Macaca mulatta: one gene and its partner. The protein of the gene in region 1 purifies or fractionates together with the protein of each later gene. This does not show direct contact. Links are inferred from orthologs where the notes say so. Each region holds a gene or a part of one and is shown in the gene's direction. Other genes may lie near its edges.

Region 1 (9,808 bases):
TATTAGTTCATGGTATAGTATAGCATCTGAAATTAGGCTTTTTAACAAACAAGACTTCAGTCTGAAATTCTAAATTCTATATAGCATGTCTGAGTCCATTACTTTGCTTCATCTATATATTTCAGAGCTGCAGCTCTCTCAACATTTATTTTAAAAACTCCCAGTGCGGTGGCTCACACCTGTAATCCCAGCACTTTGGGAGGCTGTGGTGGGTGGATCACTTGAAGTCACACCAGCCCAGCCAACATGGTGAAACCCCATCTCTACTAAAAATACAAAAAAAAAAGTTAGCCGGGCATAGTGGTGCATGCCTGTAGTTCCAGCTACTTGGAAGGCTGAGGCAGGAGAGTCGCTTGAACCCGGGAAGCAGAGGTTCCAGTGAGCAGAGATTGTGCCACTGCACTCCAGTCTGGGTGACAGAGCGAGACTGTGTCTCAAAAAATAATAATAATTAGTAAATAAATAAAAACTGTTAAGGGTATATACATTTGCAGAACGTGTTTGAGGTAGGGTATGTTTATACTTTAAGCCAATGATTTTCAAAGTATGGTCCCTGCACCAGCAGTATCAGAATTACCTGGGAACTTGTTGGAATTGCAAATTCCTAACACAAATCCCAGACTGGGTTTGAGGCCCAGCAGTCTAGTTTAATAAGCCCTCTTCTAGGTGATTCTGATGCATGAAGAAGTTTGGGAACCCTAGTCTTAAAATTCTAGAACATGGGAATATTATGTGATATTCTATTACAGAGTATTTTCTGATATTTAGAATGTTCCACTGATTTTAGGGAGTATATGTATTTTAACTATTCTCAGTGAATCATATAAGCTTTCAGTTGCTGCTCATTCCTTGGGCACTTTTCCCTCATCTCTGTTAGAACTCCTGTTATAGCACTTAACTATACTTCATTGCCACCCCTATAGTCTGGGAACTCCAGTATATAAACAGTGAAGACAGAGACCAGTCTGACTCGCTCTGTTGTATCTCCTGTGCTTTGCAAGACAGATGCCTGGCTCTTAGTAAGTCCTCCATAGTGATTAATGATTGTACCTATTATAGCTCTCCCTTCATCTGCCTCTCCATACCGTAGGAAGCACTCAAACACTTGCAGTCACTCAATGAATGAAGTTCCTTAATGGTAGGAAATCTTTTTTTTTTGTTTTTGTTTTGTTTTTTGTTTGTTTGAGACGGAGTCTTGCTCTGTCACCCAGGCTGGAGTGCTGTGGCCGGATCTCAGCTCACTGCAAGCTCCGCCTCCCGGGTTCCCGCCATTCTCCTGCCTCAGCCTCCCGAGTAGCTGGGACTACAGGCGCCCGCCACCTCGCCCGGCTAGTTTTTTGTATTTTTTAGTAGAGACGGGGTTTCACCGTGTTAGTCAGGATGGTCTCCATCTCCTGACCTTGTGATCCGCCCGTCTCAGCCTCCCAAAGTGCTGGGATTACAGGCTTGAGCCACCGCGCCCGGCCAGTAGGAAATCTTTTTGTATGCCAAGTTTCTATCTAATGAAACTGTCTTAACCTGTGAATTGAAAGTACTTTTGGGTGATGATGGATATGTCTGTGGCCATAATGGTGGTGATAGTTTCATGGGTGTATACTTATCTCCAAACTCATCATGAATTGTATACATTAATTATGTATGGGTTTTTACATATCAGTTATACTTCAATAAAATGTTTTTTTAGAAAGTACCTTGTGGCTGGGCCGGGCGCGGTGGCTCATGCCTGTAATCCCAGCACTTTGGGAGGCTGAGGCAGGTGGATCACCTGAGGTCGGGAGTTCAAGACCAGCCTGACCAACATGGAGAAACCCCGTCTCTACTAAAAATACAAAATTAGCTGGGCATGGTGGCACATGCCTGTAATCCCTGCTACTTGGAAGGCTGAGGCAGGAGAATCGCTTGAACCCAGGAGGCAGAGGTTACGGTGAGCCAAGATTGCACCATTGCACTCCAGCCTGGGCAACAGGAGTGAAACTCCGTCTCAAAAAAGTACCTGGTGCATTTTGTATCGTTTAGACATTGGCTGAATTTGGGCTAGATAATGGTGACAATATATTAAGTACTTTATGAAAAATTGCCTTTAATTAGGCATATCTACATATTTTATTAACTTCTCTTACGTCACACAACTAGTGAGTAGCAGAGTAAGAACAAGGTCTTTCAGACTCTTAAGGACTAGTATCTAGAGTACTAATGTCACTGTGGAACTTTAATGGAACTATCCATTGTATATTTAGATTATTGATTTTTGCTTTTTTCAAGGTAAGATTATATTTTGTCTTGATGCAGATTTTAATTTTTTGTTTGTTTCTTTATTCTCCTTTCCCCATCTCACCCAATTAATTTTGTTAAATCGATTTAAGAAACATTTAAATGTCTCTATTCTCACGTGAGGCTTCAGGTGAGGTTAGAAGAGCACACTACTTTTATTAGAAGCAGGCTTTGGGCTTTCTAATCAACTTCATATAACTTTAGTACTTTCAGCTAGTTTATTTCTGAAATTGGCACATTCATGTGTACTATTTGGTCTCACTATATGGTACTTCATGTTATTGCTTTAAGCAGACTTCAAAATTTGCTTTTATTTACCAGAGCAAAAATTTAAATTGTTTTTCCTGTTCAGAAATTGAGAAGATTCAGAAAGGAGACTCAAAAAAGGACGATGAAGAGAATTACTTGGATTTATTTTCTCATAAGAACATGAAACTGAAAGAGCGAGTGCTGATACCTGTCAAGCAGTATCCCAAGGTAAGGCAAAAAGTGCCTTGCATCTTTGAGTTATCTTTATAGTTACGAGAGAGTCATGGACTCCTGGGGATTGTGATGCTTTAGAAACTTAAGCCTGTGAAGCTTCTCTTTCATGCTTGCAGTACCTGTTTCTGGCAATTGAAATATCTAAGTTCTTAACTAAACATAGTTATAGCCAGGAAGGAAATGTAATAATCTTTTTATTATCAAAAAGTTTCTTTCTCTAATGACTGCTCAGGCTACAAGTTCAAAGAAAAAAAAAAAATAAAACCTGAAGAGTTGCTCTCTGTCAAAAGACTAACCTGAAATCTAAATAAAAGGAAATATAATACAAATCCTCAATTGGATGAAGTTAATTTTATTTTCTTACTAAAAGTTTACTTTTAAGTAAATGCTTTTTTTCTTCCTTTTTTTTTTTTTCTTTTTTTAGGAAAGCAATTAGTTACATTTAGTTTATCCAGCGTGCTATCAAAGGGTGCTATATAGTCTCTTCTGCTCTGAGGTCACTGCGTTAACAATGTTTATGTATGTTAAGGCATGCATAAACAGGCACAGTGGCTCATGCCTGTAATGCCAGCACTTTGGGAGGCCAATGCAGGCAGATTACTTGAGCCCAGGAATTCAAGACCAGCCTAAGCAACATAGCAAAACCGTATCTCTACAAAAAATACAAAAATTAGCCTGATATGGTGATGTGCACCTATAGTCCCGGCTACTCCAGAGGCTGAGGCGGGAGGATCACTTGAGCCCAGGAAGTCGAGGCTGCGGTGAGCCATGATCATGTCACTACACTTTGGCCTGGGCAACAAAGTGAGAGCCTGTCTCAAAATAAAGTAAAAAATAAAATAGTAAAGGTCTTAGTGTATTATGGAAGATGGCCAGAATACATCAGAAAAGCCAAATTCAGGTCTAGGAACTGCCACTTTCTAGTTTCATAATCTTAAACTAATCACTTTATTAATATGGCTTCAGCGTCCTTCAGTAAAACGGGAATGGTAATACTCTACCTTTGCAGGGTTGTTTAAAATCAAATGAGGTAATTTATGTGGAGATGTTTTTATATAGTAGCATGTATATTTAGAAATCCTTTATTTTCTGTCAGTTCAATTTTGTGGGGAAGATTCTTGGACCACAAGGGAATACAATCAAAAGACTGCAGGAAGAGACTGGTGCAAAGATCTCTGTGTTGGGAAAGGGCTCAATGAGAGACAAAGCCAAGGTAAGCTCACATTAGTGAGGCAAGAGGACATCCTAATGCCTTCTACTTGCCCAGAATGCAGTATAGATGCCTTATAGAGGCAAGAATATTGTGTATGTACAGAATGTGGCTCCTTTAAGTGTGCATTGGGTGCAAGAGATTATACACCAAGTTAATTTACTTGCTTGGCAACCCTGGAAGAGCCTAGGTGTGCCCTGGTGATAGTTTTCTTTTGGACTTTTGACTGCATAGTAATGGACAGAGCAGTAGCATCTTGTGCATTGGTAGGATTGTCTGGGAAAACTTGAAAGGGGAGCTGGATATACTAAAACTTAGTCTAAAGCAGACAAAAGACACTAAAAGGCAAACAGCACACCCCCTTTTTTGTAACCTGGAAAAGTGAGAACAATAGTGTTGTGAGAGCAGAAGAGTTTGAGGATTAGTTGGTTTGTTTTATAGCCGGCTGGAATGTGAGGCTTACTAAAAGAATGTATTCCAAAAGGAGCCATGAGTAATCCTGACTACAGAATCTAATGAGTCTTTTCCCATGCCATAGCCGCATATACTGTGTACTCTGTGACAAGAAACTTCTCACCAAAACAGAATGGTCTTAGCCTTCTGGGGTCACTTTATTTGATGAGATATGCCTGCTACAGTCCGAAAACCTATTCTTTCAATCCTCCTTTTATGTAGCCTAATGGACACGTGTTTGTTTTCTCAGGTCATTTCTTACTAGACGCATATAGTTAGGGCTGAAGTGTGTTGTTCTAGCTAATGAGATTTACATGAGCTTTTCTTCTCTCTGTCCTGACTTCTTTCTTCCCCTAGCACTCCCTAGACCATATAAGCAGATAAGCAGAGCTCGTGGTGATTAACAGCTCTACCTGAGATTTAAAAACAAATGCTTGGCACACAGCTATTATCTGAATAGAGACTAGAATTAAGTTTTTCTTCTTTATGCTTTTAGTAAGAGCTCCAGTGGATATCTCAGGGATTTAAGATGACAATTAACTGTTAGCAGCAGACCATGTGCAAGTTTAGCAGGCTGTGCAAATTACTGTTCTTCAGAGCTTGTTTCACTTTTTTTTTTTTCTTGAGACGGAGCCTTGCTCTTGCCCAGGCTGGAGTGCAGTGGCGCAACCTCCAACTCCCGGGTTCAAGCGATTCTCCTGCCTCAGCCTCCTGAGTAGCTGGGATTACAGGCAAGCACCACCATGCCCGGCTAATTTTTGTATTTTTAGTAGAGGTGAGGCTTCATCACGTTGGTCAGGCTGGTCTGGAACTCCTGACCTAGTGATCCGCCCACCTCGGCCTCCCAAAGTGCTGGGATTACAGGCATGAGCCACCATGCCTGGCTGCTTGTTTTACTTTCTTAAACTTTACTGTTTTTCTTTCTTTCTTTTTTTTTTTTTTAAATTCTTCTCAGCTCATACCAATTAAACTTTACTGTTAGTTTAATTAGACATTGGGGATATTTCTTGCTGTTCCTTTGGCTTAGAGGTAAAGGTGTTGTTTTCTCCCTAGTCCATGTGGTGTGACGTTTCTCTGCATTTTTCCATAGGAGGAAGAGCTGCGCAAAGGTGGAGACCCCAAATATGCCCACTTGAATATGGATCTGCATGTCTTCATTGAAGTCTTTGGACCCCCATGTGAGGCTTATGCTCTTATGGCCCATGCCATGGAGGAAGTCAAGAAATTTCTAGTACCGGTAAGGAAATCCATATCCTGTGTCTTCTGAGCAAAAGAGAACTGGGATCTTATGCTGTTGTGAAGGTAGGGTTTCTTAACTAAGGTCTCTGCATAACCTGTATGTATACCAAATTCTGCATTTATGTTCATTTTCCTGCGGTAGTTCATTGCTTGTACCTAGTTCTCCAAGCATTATGCTCCAAGGCCACTCTGTCCCTCCTTGTCTAATGTGGTAGTCATTGTGTATCGGTATCTGTTGTCAGTATCTCGGGTCCACAATGTGCCTGCATTCTGATACTTGGTTAACTACGGTTTAACAGGGTCTTCACCTAGCTGAGTATTTTGGTAGTAGTGTGGAACAAGGAGATTGTATTAAGAAGGTGACTAAGGTGCGTCCCTGCACTCAAGAAGTTTATGCTGTAGAGAGTAGAGGCTAACAGCAAGAAGCTTATAACATCTAGTGTTACTGAGTTAAATTCTGAGCACACTCAGGGATTTCTTTCCTGGAGGAGTTTGCTGAGGATGAGTTTGGTTTGGAAGAGGTTGACTGTTGATGTTTCACAGATTGGTGAGCAGCTTTTTTCAGACTATAACTGAGGACTAGATAGAGATAGGACAGGCCAGTTTATCTATCTTGCTTATTACTATCTTTAAATACTTGGTTGGAACGTTACTTTGAATAAATAGGAAATGGTACTGTTTTTGCCTTTTAGCAAGGCCAGGTGGTTGTCAGAGTTAACATACTACTGTTGAATATTTAATAACAAGGATGAATCTGGAAGCTTATGAAGGATTTGGAATATTATTCAACTAGAATTGAGTAAGTGTCATGTGTTCATCAGAAAACTGAGAGGTGGTAAGATACAGTCCTTGGTTTTCTTGAATGTTAAATGAGGGAGTTGGAACTAAATGTAGTGTCAGAGGATGTGAAAATTGATAGAGCAAAAATTTATAGGCAGTGTGGGCCGGACACGGTGGGTAACGCCTATAATCCCAACAATTTGGGAGGCCGAGGTGGGCAGATCACCTGAGGTCGAGAGTTCGAGACCAGCCTGACCAACGTGGTGAAACCCCGTCTCTACTAAAAATTAGTTGGGCGTGGTAGCGCCCAGCTACTCAGGAGGCTGAAGCAGGAGAATCGCTTGAACCCAGGAGGCAGAGGTTGCGGTAAGCCAAGATTGTGCCATTGGACTCCAGCCTGGGCAACAAGAGTAAAACTCCTTTTCCAAAGAAAATAAAAATTTCAGGCATTTTGTACCCGTAATGCTGAACTCCAAGGATGCCAACAGTCTCAAATGTCTTCGCAGCTGCTTTGCTTTCAAGTACCTCATCTTCATTAGAATGTTCGACGTGAAACAGACCATTTGACATATCCTAGAGAAAAACACAGCTGGTTAATCTTACTCAAGGGAATTCTTTTTACTCTTTTTGGGGTGTTCTATTGATCACCCAAGCATTCAATTTCCAAAGGACTGCAGAGGGAATACCCATCTTCTCTCTTTATTGTTAGTCTCCCTCATATTCCTCAGAAGGCTTAGGTTTATGAGGCTTCCATGTAAGTGAATCTTTTGAAAAAGATGCCTGCCGGGGAGATGGGGGTTTCCTCAGTGTTGCTGTGGTAGTTGGAGGAGTCTGAGGAATGGTCTGGCATTAGTTACTTGATTCTCCAATGTGTGAGTCTCAAGCAGCAGTAATGTGTAAGGTAGGAGGAGCCGGACAATTGAGGGGGGCATCAAAGACTAGCATCATCTATGGAAACTGTATACATCTGGGATGTGTAAAAATGCATGAAGTATTAAGACTGAATGGCTCTCAACAGGAAGTGTGAAAAGATTTGCAAATGGCATTTGGCTTGATTTTTCCCTCTTGTGGAGGAAAAAAAAGTGAGATTATTTTTGCATCTGTGACCAGAGCCCTCCATTTTCCCCTTAAAATAATTAATTATACCAGTAATGCCTCACAGTGCAGTAGAAAGAGCACTGGACCATGTATATCTGTCTCTGTATGTCTTCCTGGACAGGTTATCATTTCATTTTTCTGAACTTCAGGTTTTTCATCCAAACATTTCTTAAATATCTGTCAGATGTCTGATACTATGCTTCGGTGTAAAGTTACAAAAATGGCTCCTGAAGAGCTTACAGTTTAGTGACAGACAATTCTAAAATGATGTGGTAAGTGCTTGCATGTAGGGAATTATGTGGTACTTTGAGAAAAGAGGAGTTGTAGGAATGGCATCAAGAGAAGGTTTTTCAAGAGACACTTATTTAGACAAGTCTTACAAGGATGAGTTAAGAATCCCTCAGGTGGACAAAAAAGACAGTATAAGGACAAAAAAGCCTGTTGATCCAACACCTAGATTTTGAGACAGGTAATTCTGAATTCACATCTAGAGTCTGCCATTTATTAGCTCTATGTTCTTAAGCTGGTTGATGTATACTCTTTGAGTCTGTTTTCTTAACTGTAAAATGTGGAGATCTGCCTACTTCAGGGACATTTTGAAGATAAAACTGAAAAGTCTATATAAAGTTTATTATATGGAGCCAAGTGCATACAGCTCCATTAATGGTAGTGGCTTTTATTATTCCAGGAAGAGGAAACTATTTGCAAAGAATGGATGTGTAAGAGTATGCCAGGCTCTGAACTACAAGTTGTTCAGTGTGGCTTGTGGGGAGGTTTTATATATATAGAACGAATGGAAGTGATCCAGAGAGCTAGGCAGGGAGCACATTATGAATAATGAGGAGTCTGCCGTCAAGACTTTTCTCGGCTGGGCACGGTGGCTCAAGCCTGTAATCCCAGCACTTTGGGAGGCCGAGACGGGCGGATCACGAGGTCAGGAGATCGAGACCATCCTGGCTAACACGGTGAAACCCCGTCTCTACTAAAAATACAAAAAAAAATAAGCCGGGCGAGGTGGCGGGCGCCTGTAGTCCCAGCTGCTCGGGAGGCTGAGGCAGGAGAATTGTGCGAACCCGGGAGGCGGAGCTTGCAGTGAGCGGAGATCTGGCCACTGCACTCCAGCCTGGGCGACAGAGCCAGACTCCGTCTCAAAAAAAAAAAAAAAAAAAAGACTTTTCTCAAAGAGGTGACAGGTAGGGTGCCATTTGACTTCAGAGAATGAATGATGTGAGACCTCATCTGGGCTCTCAAAGCTGTTCTTAGAATTCAAGGCTCCCATGGGCCGGATGGTTTCTCAGTAGAAACTGTAGATATTACACAATACTCGTATCTTTCATTCCCAGGACATGATGGATGATATCTGCCAGGAGCAATTTCTAGAGCTGTCCTACTTGAATGGAGTACCTGAACCCTCTCGTGGACGTGGGGTGCCAGTGAGAGGCCGAGGAGCTGCACCACCTCCACCACCTGTTCCCAGGTAAAAATAATGGAGACACCCAGAAATAAGATGTAAATTTGACTACTAGTATCATCTCTTTTAGTGGTGCTCTTATGTCTCACTTAGGAAGGTTCTCAGGATTTGTACTTTGCATCGAGAATAGAATTCTACAACCAGACATGATGGCTCACGCCTGTAATCCCAGCATTTTGGGAGGCTAAGGCAGGCAGATCACCTGACATTAGGAGTTTGAGACCGGCCTGGTCAATGTGGCGAAACCCAGTCTCTACTAAAAATACAAAAATTAGCCGGGTGTGGTGCTATACACCTGTAATCCCAGCTACTCAGGAGGCTGGGGCAAGAGAATTGCTTGAACCCAGGAGACAGAGGTTGCAGTGAGCCAAGATCATGCCACTGCGCTCCAGCCTGGGTGATAGAGCAAGACTCCATTTCAAAAAAAAAAAAAAGAGTTCTAGCTCTTGGGCACTTGGACGATAGCCAAGTGCTGCAGTCTAGCTGAAACTTTTGGTCTTCTAATTTTGGACAATCCTAGCATTTTTTAATGGTCTGACTTTAAAATTCTACCTTTTGTGACTGACCTTTATGGAGTATTCAGACTCTCCAGACCTACCCAAGGCAGTGCAGTGATGACCTGGTCCACTGTAGGACCTGGGGGATCTTGCAGTGTGGGTCCTTTACCCTGTACATTCCTCCGTGCTTTAATAATAGTTAACGCTTCATGAAATCTGCTTAACTCCAGAATTTATAAACAAATCAGAACATAAAAGTCTGTTTATAAAAAGCTCCATTTAAAATAAACTTTCATTTTGTAGGGG
Region 2 (10,568 bases), on another chromosome or scaffold:
TAGAAAGTGTTATTGTTTTGGCTATCAGGAAGCTCAGCCATGTTTAATTCTCAATCACATCAGCTACGTTAACCCATAAACCATATTATCATCCTCCTCCTTATAATCTCATCTCCTATTTCTATATTTTGTTCTCTATTTTTAAGTACTCAAAGCTTTTTTTTAAAGGGCTGAAAAAGAATACATTTGTGGTAGGCATAGCAATGTGCCACCCAGATCCCCTTCAAGGAAGGACTTGTTGACCCAACTATTGGGAGAGCTGTCAGCAGAAAATCTTTAGCTGCCAGCCCCTCAAAGATCACCTTGGCTGCAGAGTGCCGTCTGGCCCAGGCTAGGCTCTTCCCAGGACATTACAACTCCTTTCCAGGCTAGTGCCAGACAAGAGATCCTGGGGGTTGGCTGAGACTGTCATCAGGCGTGCGTCTCCGTTTAGTTTGCCCTGTGCCCACTCCTGTTTCTTTCCAGTACCTCCCTGAGTGTTGATCCCAGGAGCACTCCCTAATAAACATGCTGCACACTAACCTGTCACAGAGTCCGCATCCAAAGAACCCAACCTGTGACAGCACTGAATCAAAAGAGACTCAGGAGGCTGAGGCAGGAGAACTGCTTGAACTTGGGAGACGGAGTTTGCAGTGAGCCGAGATTGCGCCATTGCACGCCAGCCTGGGCGACGAGAGAGAAACTCTGTCTCAAAAAAAAAAAAAAAAAGAAAATACATCAGGTAGGGGTATTTTACAAAGGAGAGAGGATATACAATAAAGTGTTCATACATACATGGGAAGCAAAACAGCACTGACTCTGGGGCCAGACTACCTGGGTTTCAATCCTGCCTTTTAGCTCTGTGCCTCAGTTTTTTCATCTGGAAAATGGGGGTAATAAGAGCACTTATAGGGCTGTAATGAGGAAGAAATGAGACAATGTGGATAAAGCAGTTCCATAGTGTTTACTATACACCAACCACTGTTCTAAGTGGTCATTTAATAAACAGCTGTGAGGCCAAACCCACAGGTCCCGAGGGGCAGCTGGGCTGGGACTCTCCCCAGACTCTGGGCACGGGCACAGGTACAGTGTAGGCCAAGGCATGCTGAAGCATGCATGCTCACAGAAATAGGCCTGAGCGGGCTAGCCTGGGTGACGTCACAGGCGTGTGCCTTGTGTGGGTGCTGGGCTGCTCCTCCCAGACAGCGCAGCTGCACGTATTGCCATTCACACCCACACACCCATATATATGCTGAGCTGGGGGAAGCCCACACAGACCACACCCTCTGCATGCCCTGTTTTTCCTGCACCTCCTTTGGTGGAAGCAGGCAACTGAGGCCTGGGATGCTGGCCCAGAAGTCCCAGGAGGAAATGGGCCCTGTTCTCTGATTACAGGCCTGGCAATGGGCTGAAAACTCAAGCTCTTGTTGGCAGGGATTTCTTGAGCCCCTGGAGGTCCAGCCCCAGAGGCAAAAGTAAAAGCAAGGAAGACTTACCCTGCACATTAGGAAGCTCCCCCAAAAAAATGGAGAAACAGATTTAAAAAGTGTATCGAGCCCACAGGCTGCCTTTGTCAGCATGGGAAGCTCAACGAGGGCTGCAGCACTTAGGAGGGTGCCTCCTGTAAAAAACAGAATCAGACAGCCAGAGAGGGGCCCCATTCAGCCCCTGCCCGCCTTCCTGGCCTCATCACTCCCTATCCCCTCCTCAGTTAGGAAACTCTAGCTTTGTAACCCTAAATTCAAACCTCTTCCTGGCCTCAGGGCCTTTGTACATGCTGTTACCTCTACTTGGAACGTATTTTTCTCCAACCCACCTTTAATAATTCACCTCGCCATTGACTCACTTCCTTTAGACCTCTGCTGCGGTCTGAAGAGATCTCGACCCAATGTTTTTCCTCCTAGCCCTCATCACAATTGTCTTTATGTAACAGAGTGTTTAATGTCTGAACTCCCGGAGAGCTGGCGCTGGGTCTCTCTTGTGCTCCTAACTCATGTTGTCAAGGCCCAACACAGGGAAGAGCAGGGTCCACAGAACTTTAAGCCTAAGCCAGTTCAAGCCACACTCTGTGAGCATTCACGTTCTGCTGGATTTCCCTGTGCCCTAGGCCAGCAGTGAGCATGCCTCCCCTCACCCATGCTGATTAACCAGAGCCTCCATGCCCACTGACTACTGACCACCAGGACTTACCTAAGCCAGTGGATCTCCTGTGAGGCAGAAAACTCATGGAGTCAGGTCGACTTGGTTCTAATTCCCACCTAGTTATGTTAGTTATGGGGCTTTGGGGCAAATTGTAGAACTTCTCTGAATCTGTTTCTCATCAGTAAACTGCAGACCATCATTCCTCATTAGAGGATAATTATGAGATCAGGTGTGACCACAGGTGCATGCCTTCAGCACAGGGTCTATGCCAGCTCCCTCCCGCCCACGTAAAGGCCTGCCACTAGGTGGCAGTCCATCTCAGCTACCCCACCGCTCCCTAGGCCAAAGAAGCTGGCTAGGACAAAGTGTCTCAAAGTCATGCTGAATTCTGAGCTTCTTAGGGGATGCACTTGAGGATATCAACGAAACACACAAGTTTCCACTACAGCAAGACAAAGTCAGAAGCAGCAGCCCCAGGTCACTATCCAGCTGAGTAGGTTGCCTGAGCACACACTCTTACATACTTACAAACTCTAGTCCTACTATCCCACAAATCCCAGGAAGCCTGGCTCTTTCTCTGGCATCAGCTGGAAGCTCTGTTGGGCTTCTCACCTCTGAAATGCAGTAAGTTGTCCTGCTGTGTCTGGCAGCCGACCCACTGCCTGGCTCAACATATCAGACTCCACTGCGACCGTTGGTGTCCTCAATTTTGGCGGTGCTGACAGCGGCAGATAGATTGCAGGGGTGAGTTTCAAGAATGGCTTCAGAAAGACGAAGAGTATGAATTATTCCATAACCAGAAAAAGGCCTTGTGGCTGGAGAATGGAGAGCGAAGGATCACTTGTGAGAGATGAAACTGGTGAGATGGGCAGGTCATATAGAACCTGCTAGGCCAAGCAGCGAGTGTGGATTTTAGGTGCAATAGGAATTCATGGAGGGTTCTAGGCTGGATGTAGGGGATCATTATTTAATTTCATTGTAAAGACTTAAAGCATGGAGAATAGATCCAGGCAAAACAAAAGTGAATAGTCTGGGTGACAGGAGATGGGGCCTTCAGCTTGTGGGTTCAGTGAACAGATCTTGATGGATTGGAGGTGAGGCAGAGGGAGCAAAGTTATCTGCAAGGTTTTTGGCCTTCCAACTTAGAGGAGTTTAGCGCCACGTTCTGAGAAAGTGAAGACTGGAAAGAACCGTTTGGGGAGGGAAGGTGAGCTGTCTAAGGTGGGGGGATGTGGCACATGCAGTGGGATGCTGGGGCCTGGAACGTAGGGGAGATGCAGGTTTCGAGTCATCGGTGCCTGTGTGGCGGGTAAAGCCAGGGGAAAGGTCAGGTCGCCTTGGGATCTGGCCTAGCACTGAGTGCAGAGGAAGAGAAGCTTCTGAGATCGAGAAGCAGCGGCCACAGGAGGAGGAGGAAAGTAAGGCGGGGAAAATCAAAGTTCAGGAGAGCATTTGCAGGAGGGGCGCCCGGGATCAGACTCCAGTCCCGCCGCGTGGAGACGGAGCGTACAGAGGCCCATGCGAAGGACAGACACAAAGGCCCTGGGAGCTGCAGGTCAGGCCGCTGGGCAGCGCGGCCGCGGACTTAACGCCCCTGCAAGGGGCTGGGGGGAACTCTCCGAACGAAAGGACCACTGAAGGCCACCCTGGCAGCAGAGGCGGAACAGACAGACGTGGGTCTGGCCGTCCCAAGAGCGGCCAGGGGCCAGCCCCGCGCTGCCGGGGGGCGGGACATGTCGGCTGTCCATCAGTGCCTGCGGCCAATCCGCAGGCGGCCCCGCCCCCGCCCCTCTCAGGAGAGGGCGCGCGGAGAACCCGCTGCCACCGCCGGTGTGAGGCGGCCCGGCCTGGCTCCCTTCGCCGGGAAGCCCGCCCAGGTAACTGGGTTTGGCCAGGCATGCCCGGAGGACGCGCCACCTCCTCGCGTCCCGTCCTGGTCGCTGCATGGGCGGTGTTCGGGACGCGGGGGCTGCGTCTGTGCGGGACCGCGGGCTGGCAGACGCCCGTGCGAGTACGCCTGACTGGCGCGCCGGCTGCGGGGCCTGCGGCCTGTGGGCGGGGCTGCCGTGCGTGACAGGGCCGCTCGTGGCCGCCGGGCTGTGTCCGGGGCTGCGTGAGAAAGCTCTGCGGGACTGAGGGCTGGGTGGGTCGACCGGGAACGGCGCGCGCTCCCGCCGCCATCGAGCCTCCGTCCCCGCCTGCGGCCTGTCTGGGGGTCGTGGGGCGCAGGCGCAGCGGGCCGGCGGGCGGGGGTCCTCCCCACGGGTGCGCGGGCGCCTTTGTTCCCGGCGCGCGAGCGGGGCGGGGCCTCAGGGCCGCCCCGCCCCGCCCTGCCGCGCTCAGGCCCCGCCCCGTGTCCGCCTGCAGGAGCAGCCGCCGGGTCCCGCTCGTCGGCCGCCTCAGCCTCAGCCCCAACCTCAGCCGGCGTCGTTGCGCCTGCTCCCGGGCCGTCCCGGCCTGTGCCGTCGCCGCCCCCAGCGTCGGAGCCATGGCGGGCGCCGCATCCCCCTGCGCCAACGGCTGCGGGCCCGGCGCGCCCTCGGACGCCGAGGTGCTGCACCTCTGCCGCAGCCTCGAGGTGGGCACCGTCATGACTTTGTTCTACTCCAAGAAGTCGCAGCGACCCGAGCGGAAGACCTTCCAGGTCAAGCTGGAGACGCGCCAGATCACGTGGAGCCGGGGCGCCGACAAGATAGAGGGGGCCAGTAAGTGCGCCCCCTTCCTGCTTGGGCCCGCCGCGCGCTAGGGTCGTGGGAGCCCGGCCCAACTGCCTGCGCCCCGGCCGGCCGCCCCAGCGACTTGGGCAAACTTTCGGGCCTTCCCCCACCCCCTCGGGGCCCCGCCCCCGCTTCGTCTCGGGTGGTCACTGGGGGCGGGGGGCATCCGGGTCCTCGGTCACCTGACAGGACACCCCCTCCCCCAGCTGGGGGGAGTTACTGTTCCTGGAGCTTTGCCCTGAGGCCTAAAAATCCTCGCGGGCTGGAGATCTGCGGTGCGGGCATCGGGCCCCCCCAGACCCTGGGAGTGGTGGTGGCATCGTTGAGGGGAGCTAAGGCAGCGGCCCCAACCCAGCACGGGAACCTGGGGCCTGACCAGACGGTCCCCGCCCACCACTCTTTTTCCAGAAAGAGCAGTCTGTGAAACTCTCCGGGCCCCCAGGCTGGGCTCTTGGTTGCAAAGGAACCTTTGGGTTCCCTAAGTAGAACTTAGGCAGATGTTGGGTAGGGCTGGTCTTGGAGCAGAGCCGGGCCTACTCATCTCCCTCTGGGGGAGAGGGAGGAAGGTGGTCTTGTTTGGTTTGGAGAAGCCTGAGAGAAGGCAGTGGCTGTTTTTTTTGTTTTTGTTTTGTTTTGTTTTGTTTTTAATGCTACTTTTGTCCCAAAGCTGAGTTTTGGAAGCCTATGTGGGTGGGCAGACACTCAGTGCCAGAACAGGGACTCCCCTTGCCCTGGGAAGCACGTTCCCAGAAGATGGGCCCCATAAAGGCCTGCCCCAGCGCCTTGGAGTCAGGTACTCTTCTCAGGAGTGCAGCTAGTTTGGAGTCTAGCCCTTTGTCCTCTGTCCGGTGGCTTCAGGGAGCGGGAGCGGCTTCTCTTGGTTTCCTGCCTTTTCGCCTTCCCAGGCCTGAGCTTGGCTGCTTTTGTGCTGGTCTGTAGTGGGAGGAGGGAGTTGGGGGATTTTGAAAAACCCCAGATCTTTGAGAGTTGTTCCACTTAGCGCGTGCCTGTGCTGTGGTCGGATGGGCACTCTGCTTTGCCACTCCATTCCCCCGCCTCTCAGTGTGAAGAGATGGTGTGTCTGCAACTCCAGACTAGGTTGCTTCTTGCAGGGACCCCCGGAGACTGGGGTTAGAGAGACCCGGGCTCAGAACCAGGTCTGTGTGAAGGAGGGGGATCAGGAAGTGACACCCCAAAGGGGGGGTCCCACAAACCTTCTTGGGTATGGTGTGCATGTGTGTAGATGGTTGAGGAGATTGGGAGGAAGGAAGGTCTTGTGGTGAGGCAGCCAGCCATCCTCAGCTACAAACTCCAGATCTGACACAGATCTAACGCAGCTGCTCAACTTAGAAATGGCAGCCGCCTTCCTCAGTGCCCCCACTGACCCTGTCAGCCACTGGGAGAATATTTTAGTGACTTGAGAGCCTGTGGATTCCAAAGTAGAGGAAGGATGGGCACTGCAAAGAGCTGAGATAATCCTGGGAACGTCACTCAGGCATCAGACTCCAGGCATGGTCCCCTTCCTTGCTCCCTATGCTGTGTTGAGTTGGTGGCACTGGCTGAAAGTTCTCAAGAGATCTCCTGGGTAACAGACTGCATTTTAAACCATGCATATTAGCAGGCAATAAATGTAGCACAGTGGTTGATGGCAAGTCTGGATTTGAAGCCCATATATTTGTTGTATGTTTCCCAGCCAGTTACTTACCTTCTCTGAGTCTTGATTTCCTCATCTGTAAAATGGGGGTAGTAATATATCCACTATATATGGTTGCTCCAGGATCAAATGAGACAATTCATGTAAAAATATCTAGCATTGTCTGACACATAAATGTTTAATAAATGTGAGCTGTTATTAGTAATAACATTAACAATAGACCATGGCTGCCCTTCAAGACCCTCAACTGGGAATGGTGAGGGGGTGAGGTGTGGCTGGAGGTAAGGGTGAAGGTGCAGGAAGGGAGGAGGATGGTGACCAAATTCACATTTCACTTAGACTGCTACTCAGAAAAAGGCAGGAAACGGTTTTGTTTTGCCTCAACCCATGTGCCCACTCACCCACCCACCATGTAAAACAGTGTTTCTTTAGAGAAAGTGTTTGGAGTTGTGCACATTTGACTCCTGGGTGTAACCTTTCTTGTTCGTAAGTTGGGGCCTGAACAGAAAAGGGGTGCAGAGAGGGCATGATCTATCATGCCTCAGGTCTTTGGGGGATGGAGGCAGGCACACAGAGGACCTGATAACCCCCTACCCAGCAGTGAGCAGGTGGGTCAGCCAGAGGTGTACACATTCAGTGATCTCATCAGTTAGCTAGGATTTGACAGGCCTGGAGGGTAGGCAAAGGATGTAGGAGGACCCTGGGTCTTGGATTTTGGGGACTCAAATTGAAAGGAGCCTGGATGAAAAGTCTGGTTGATGCCTGTGTGTTCAGACTTTACTAATGGAGGCTTCCACTGAAGCCTGCCCTGTTTCTGTCCATTCATGGGCTCTCCTTGTTGGTAGGTTCTGATTCCTGCGGCCTCTGAGGAGGTTGGACTGCCAGCCGGGTTTTCTGCCACCTGGACTCTTGCCCAAGTGCCTCAAGTATCTGGCCTTTCCTGCTGACCCTACCAGGGTACCAGCAGTGCCTGAAGCCCGGCCAAAGAGAGAGACACTGTGCTACCTTCAGGGTGTCGGTGGACCTGAGGGAGAGACAGTGTGGTTTAAGGAGCACTCATATGTAAGACCTATTTCTGCCCTGACTCTGTGCCCTCTCGCGTCAGCACTTGTGAAATGGAGCTGACACCTGCTGATTTCTAGGGTGGTCATTTGGCTCAAAGGCGGGGTGGGGAAGTGCTTAGGTGTTGACAAGTTTGGTTGTCCTGGTGGTATGACAGGAACCAGGTTGGTGTTTGGCCTTTTATGTTGCAGATACTGACATAAATGAATAAAATTCAGTTACGTAGAGTTCCAGCTGAGTGCTATCGAGACCTTTCGTCCCATTTTACAGATGAGGAAATGGAAATGGAGAATCGTTTGTGCCCAAGGTGTTGTAAGTGTCAGTGTGTGCCAGGGCCTCAGCTGGGGCCAGCTCACTAGTCAGTGGCTGACTAGCAACCCCAAGACCATGTTCCCTGTGATCTACGTGGCTCCTCTGTGAGACACCTTTGTGCTCAGGCCGTGCATTACAGGGCAAAGACCGCTTTGGCTTTGGTATCCCAAGACAGCCTCAGCCTCTCTAGGCTCTGGCTCCACACTTTTTCTTCTGGTGTCTTCTGAGTTGAGATGGTTCAGACTCGTGTTTAATGAGGTTGTCCATTTGAGGGTCTTTGTGGGCCCAGTAAACACTGGTGTAGACACTGGAGGTACTCTGTGAATACTGACTGAGCATGTCCTTGGGGACTTCTGGGGCCTAATCTTCTGTCTTTGGCTGATTCTTCACTAGATACTTTTCTAGATGCCAGGCCCTCTCAGGTAAATGAATATGGGTGCTTGCTTTTAGGGAAACGAAAACAGGCAATGACAATTGTGAGCAGTACCTTTGATGAAGAGGGTGAGGGTGGCGGAAGAAAACAGCTAACCGCCTTGATGAGGCAGGTGGGCTCAGAAGGGAGGTAGTAGTGGAACCAGCTGGCTGGGGCTTGACCCCTGTGGCTGGGGAGCAGACCACACCAGGAGGTCTGCTCCGAGGGCTAGGCCCACAGCACGGGAGAGGGCAAGGCCCAGGCCGGTGTCATCAAGGGTTTTCTTTGTACTGGCTGTTACTCCCAGTGGGAGAGGGGCAAGAGCACATGTCCGGATCTCCAGAGCTAGCCATCCCTGCCTGTGTGTTTCCTGTCTGAATGTAGTTTTTTCCAAGGGAAGTCAGACCTTTTAGTGTTTCCTCAGCACCCCAGGCTTGCCCTGATGTGTGGGTTTCCAGGCCCCCCGCCCAGCTGGGATCCTCTGTTTCCTGTGAACCTAGGAAAAGGGCCTGCTTCACAGATAACTGGAGGAGCTGAGCACACCCAGTCCTGGGACCCACAACACCTCCAGCTTCTCTCCGGACTCTGCGTGTATGTGTACATAGATGCACAGGATTCAGTTGGAGTTTAGAGATCTTGACTACCAGCTTTGCTCTGGGTAGCTTCTTGGAATGAGGCACATTTATTAATATTTGCAATAAGTATTATTATACCTCCAATTCACCCAGTGCTAGGCAGCAAGGATTCAAAAGTTTATTGAGACATGGTTTGTGCCATTGAGGAACTCTTGGAATAGACAGATGTAGAGGCATGTGATTATAACCCTGTGTGTTACATGCCATAATATAAAAGCCTCTGCCAAGAACTGTGAGGAGCTCTGCCAGGAAGGCATTAAAGGAGAGGTGACCTTTGAGGTGGGCCTTGAATTACGGAGGCACCTGCCTGTGCCGAGGCTGAGGAACTGGGAATCACTCCGTGCAGGGGTAGGGAACAGAGTTGGTGTGGTAGAGAGGAGGCTGGGACTGGTTGGAGACAGCTGTAGCCCTGGCGTGCCGTGCCCAGCAGATTACACTCAGTTCTGGAGGCAGCGGGAGTCAGCAGAGGCTGTAGTGGGACTGACTTGCCTCTGTCTGGGAGACCACAGTGGCAGTGGTTTGTCAGGCAGGTGTTGGGGAGGGAGGCCAGTGAGCTCCTCCAGTTTGCAGGAGAGAACTGATGAGGGCCCAGATAAGACCTTCTTGCTGAGGCAGGGTGGGGATGCCATGGTGGTGGATGGGAGAAGGGCTGGGTCTTGAGGGGTGAGACAGAGCTTAGTAGTTAAGCATTTGGGCCCTAGACTTTGCTTGAATTAAAATCCTGTTGTGCAGCTTACTTGCTCTGTGACCTTAAAGCATGTGGCTTTACCTCTCTGGGCTGCTTATCTGTAAAAGGGATAGTATCAAATGGCATTTATTTTATAAGGTTTTTGTGAGGATTTGATGAGAACCTGTATAAAGTGCTTAGCATGATGTGTGGCACAGTGTAAGTGCTTACTACGTAGGAACCCTGACAGGACAGAGATGAGGATTAAGTTCCCAGGAGGACCTAGTGGGGAGAAGAGCGAATGCACCTGTTGTCCTAAGGGACTGGTGCCTGGCCACCAAGCCCTTTGATTCAGAGGCAAGGAGGCCTGCCCATCCTCTCTTGCAGCTCTCAGCAATCCCTCTATTGTCAGGGCTCTTTCCCACTGCTGGTTTTGCGGGGAGACACGGCAGTTGGCTGGAAGCAGCTGCTTTGGGTGGTAACCCTTTCTGTGGAGTGAAGGTATGATATTGTCCTATTTCTAAGTGCCTAGCCCAGGACGCTATCTGGAGAGACCTTGTCTTCCAGGAAGTGCTCTAATGCCACAGCCTTGATGTGGTAGGGCCTGCCTCTGCTGTCACTGTTCTGTGTCAGTCTCCGTTAACTCACAGCATCTCTTCTCACTCTGTGCCTTTTCCTGTGGGACGTTGCTTCAAGGAGACCACAGATGATAAGTTGGAGGGAGGGAGTGAGGCCTGAGATTGCAAAGGCCTGATATTAGAAGACTGATTTTTTCCCCTTTCCACTTGCTTTGTTAGAACTAGAGAAGTCGCTGCAGACTTTGAGGAGAGTCGTAGGAGAGATGGGTGTGGGACAGGAGGATGGGAATGTTCTGGTGCCCCTTGTAGAGCGCCTTGTTTAGAGGAGCATGGGAACAGTGCCTCCTTGGAGGGAATCTCGCAGAGCAGCATGTTTACAGGTGGCAAGACTCAAGGTGGAGCCATGGGTG

What was found. Proteins that work in one complex are often made in the same cells at the same time.
Region 2: the proteins of KHDRBS1 (region 1) and PLCG1 purify together in Homo sapiens (affinity purification with western blotting; 7 studies listed by BioGRID and IntAct, with this or other methods). This does not show direct contact. The link is inferred for Macaca mulatta from reciprocal best matches to the Homo sapiens genes KHDRBS1 and PLCG1.

What each region holds. Positions count from the first base shown.
Region 1 is NC_133406.1:208,845,862-208,855,669, reverse strand, and holds part of KHDRBS1 (KH domain-containing, RNA-binding, signal transduction-associated protein 1), read left to right. Parts: intron 1-2,623; coding exon 2,624-2,748; intron 2,749-3,850; coding exon 3,851-3,967; intron 3,968-5,507; coding exon 5,508-5,654; intron 5,655-8,877; coding exon 8,878-9,011; intron 9,012-9,805; coding exon 9,806-9,808. UniProt on the Homo sapiens protein: Recruited and tyrosine phosphorylated by several receptor systems, for example the T-cell, leptin and insulin receptors. Once phosphorylated, functions as an adapter protein in signal transduction cascades by binding to SH2 and SH3 domain-containing proteins.
Region 2 is NC_133415.1:93,997,410-94,007,977, forward strand, and holds the start of PLCG1 (1-phosphatidylinositol 4,5-bisphosphate phosphodiesterase gamma-1), read left to right. Parts: upstream 1-3,930; 5' UTR 3,931-3,998; intron 3,999-4,488; 5' UTR 4,489-4,609; coding exon 4,610-4,826; intron 4,827-10,568. UniProt on the Homo sapiens protein: Mediates the production of the second messenger molecules diacylglycerol (DAG) and inositol 1,4,5-trisphosphate (IP3). Plays an important role in the regulation of intracellular signaling cascades.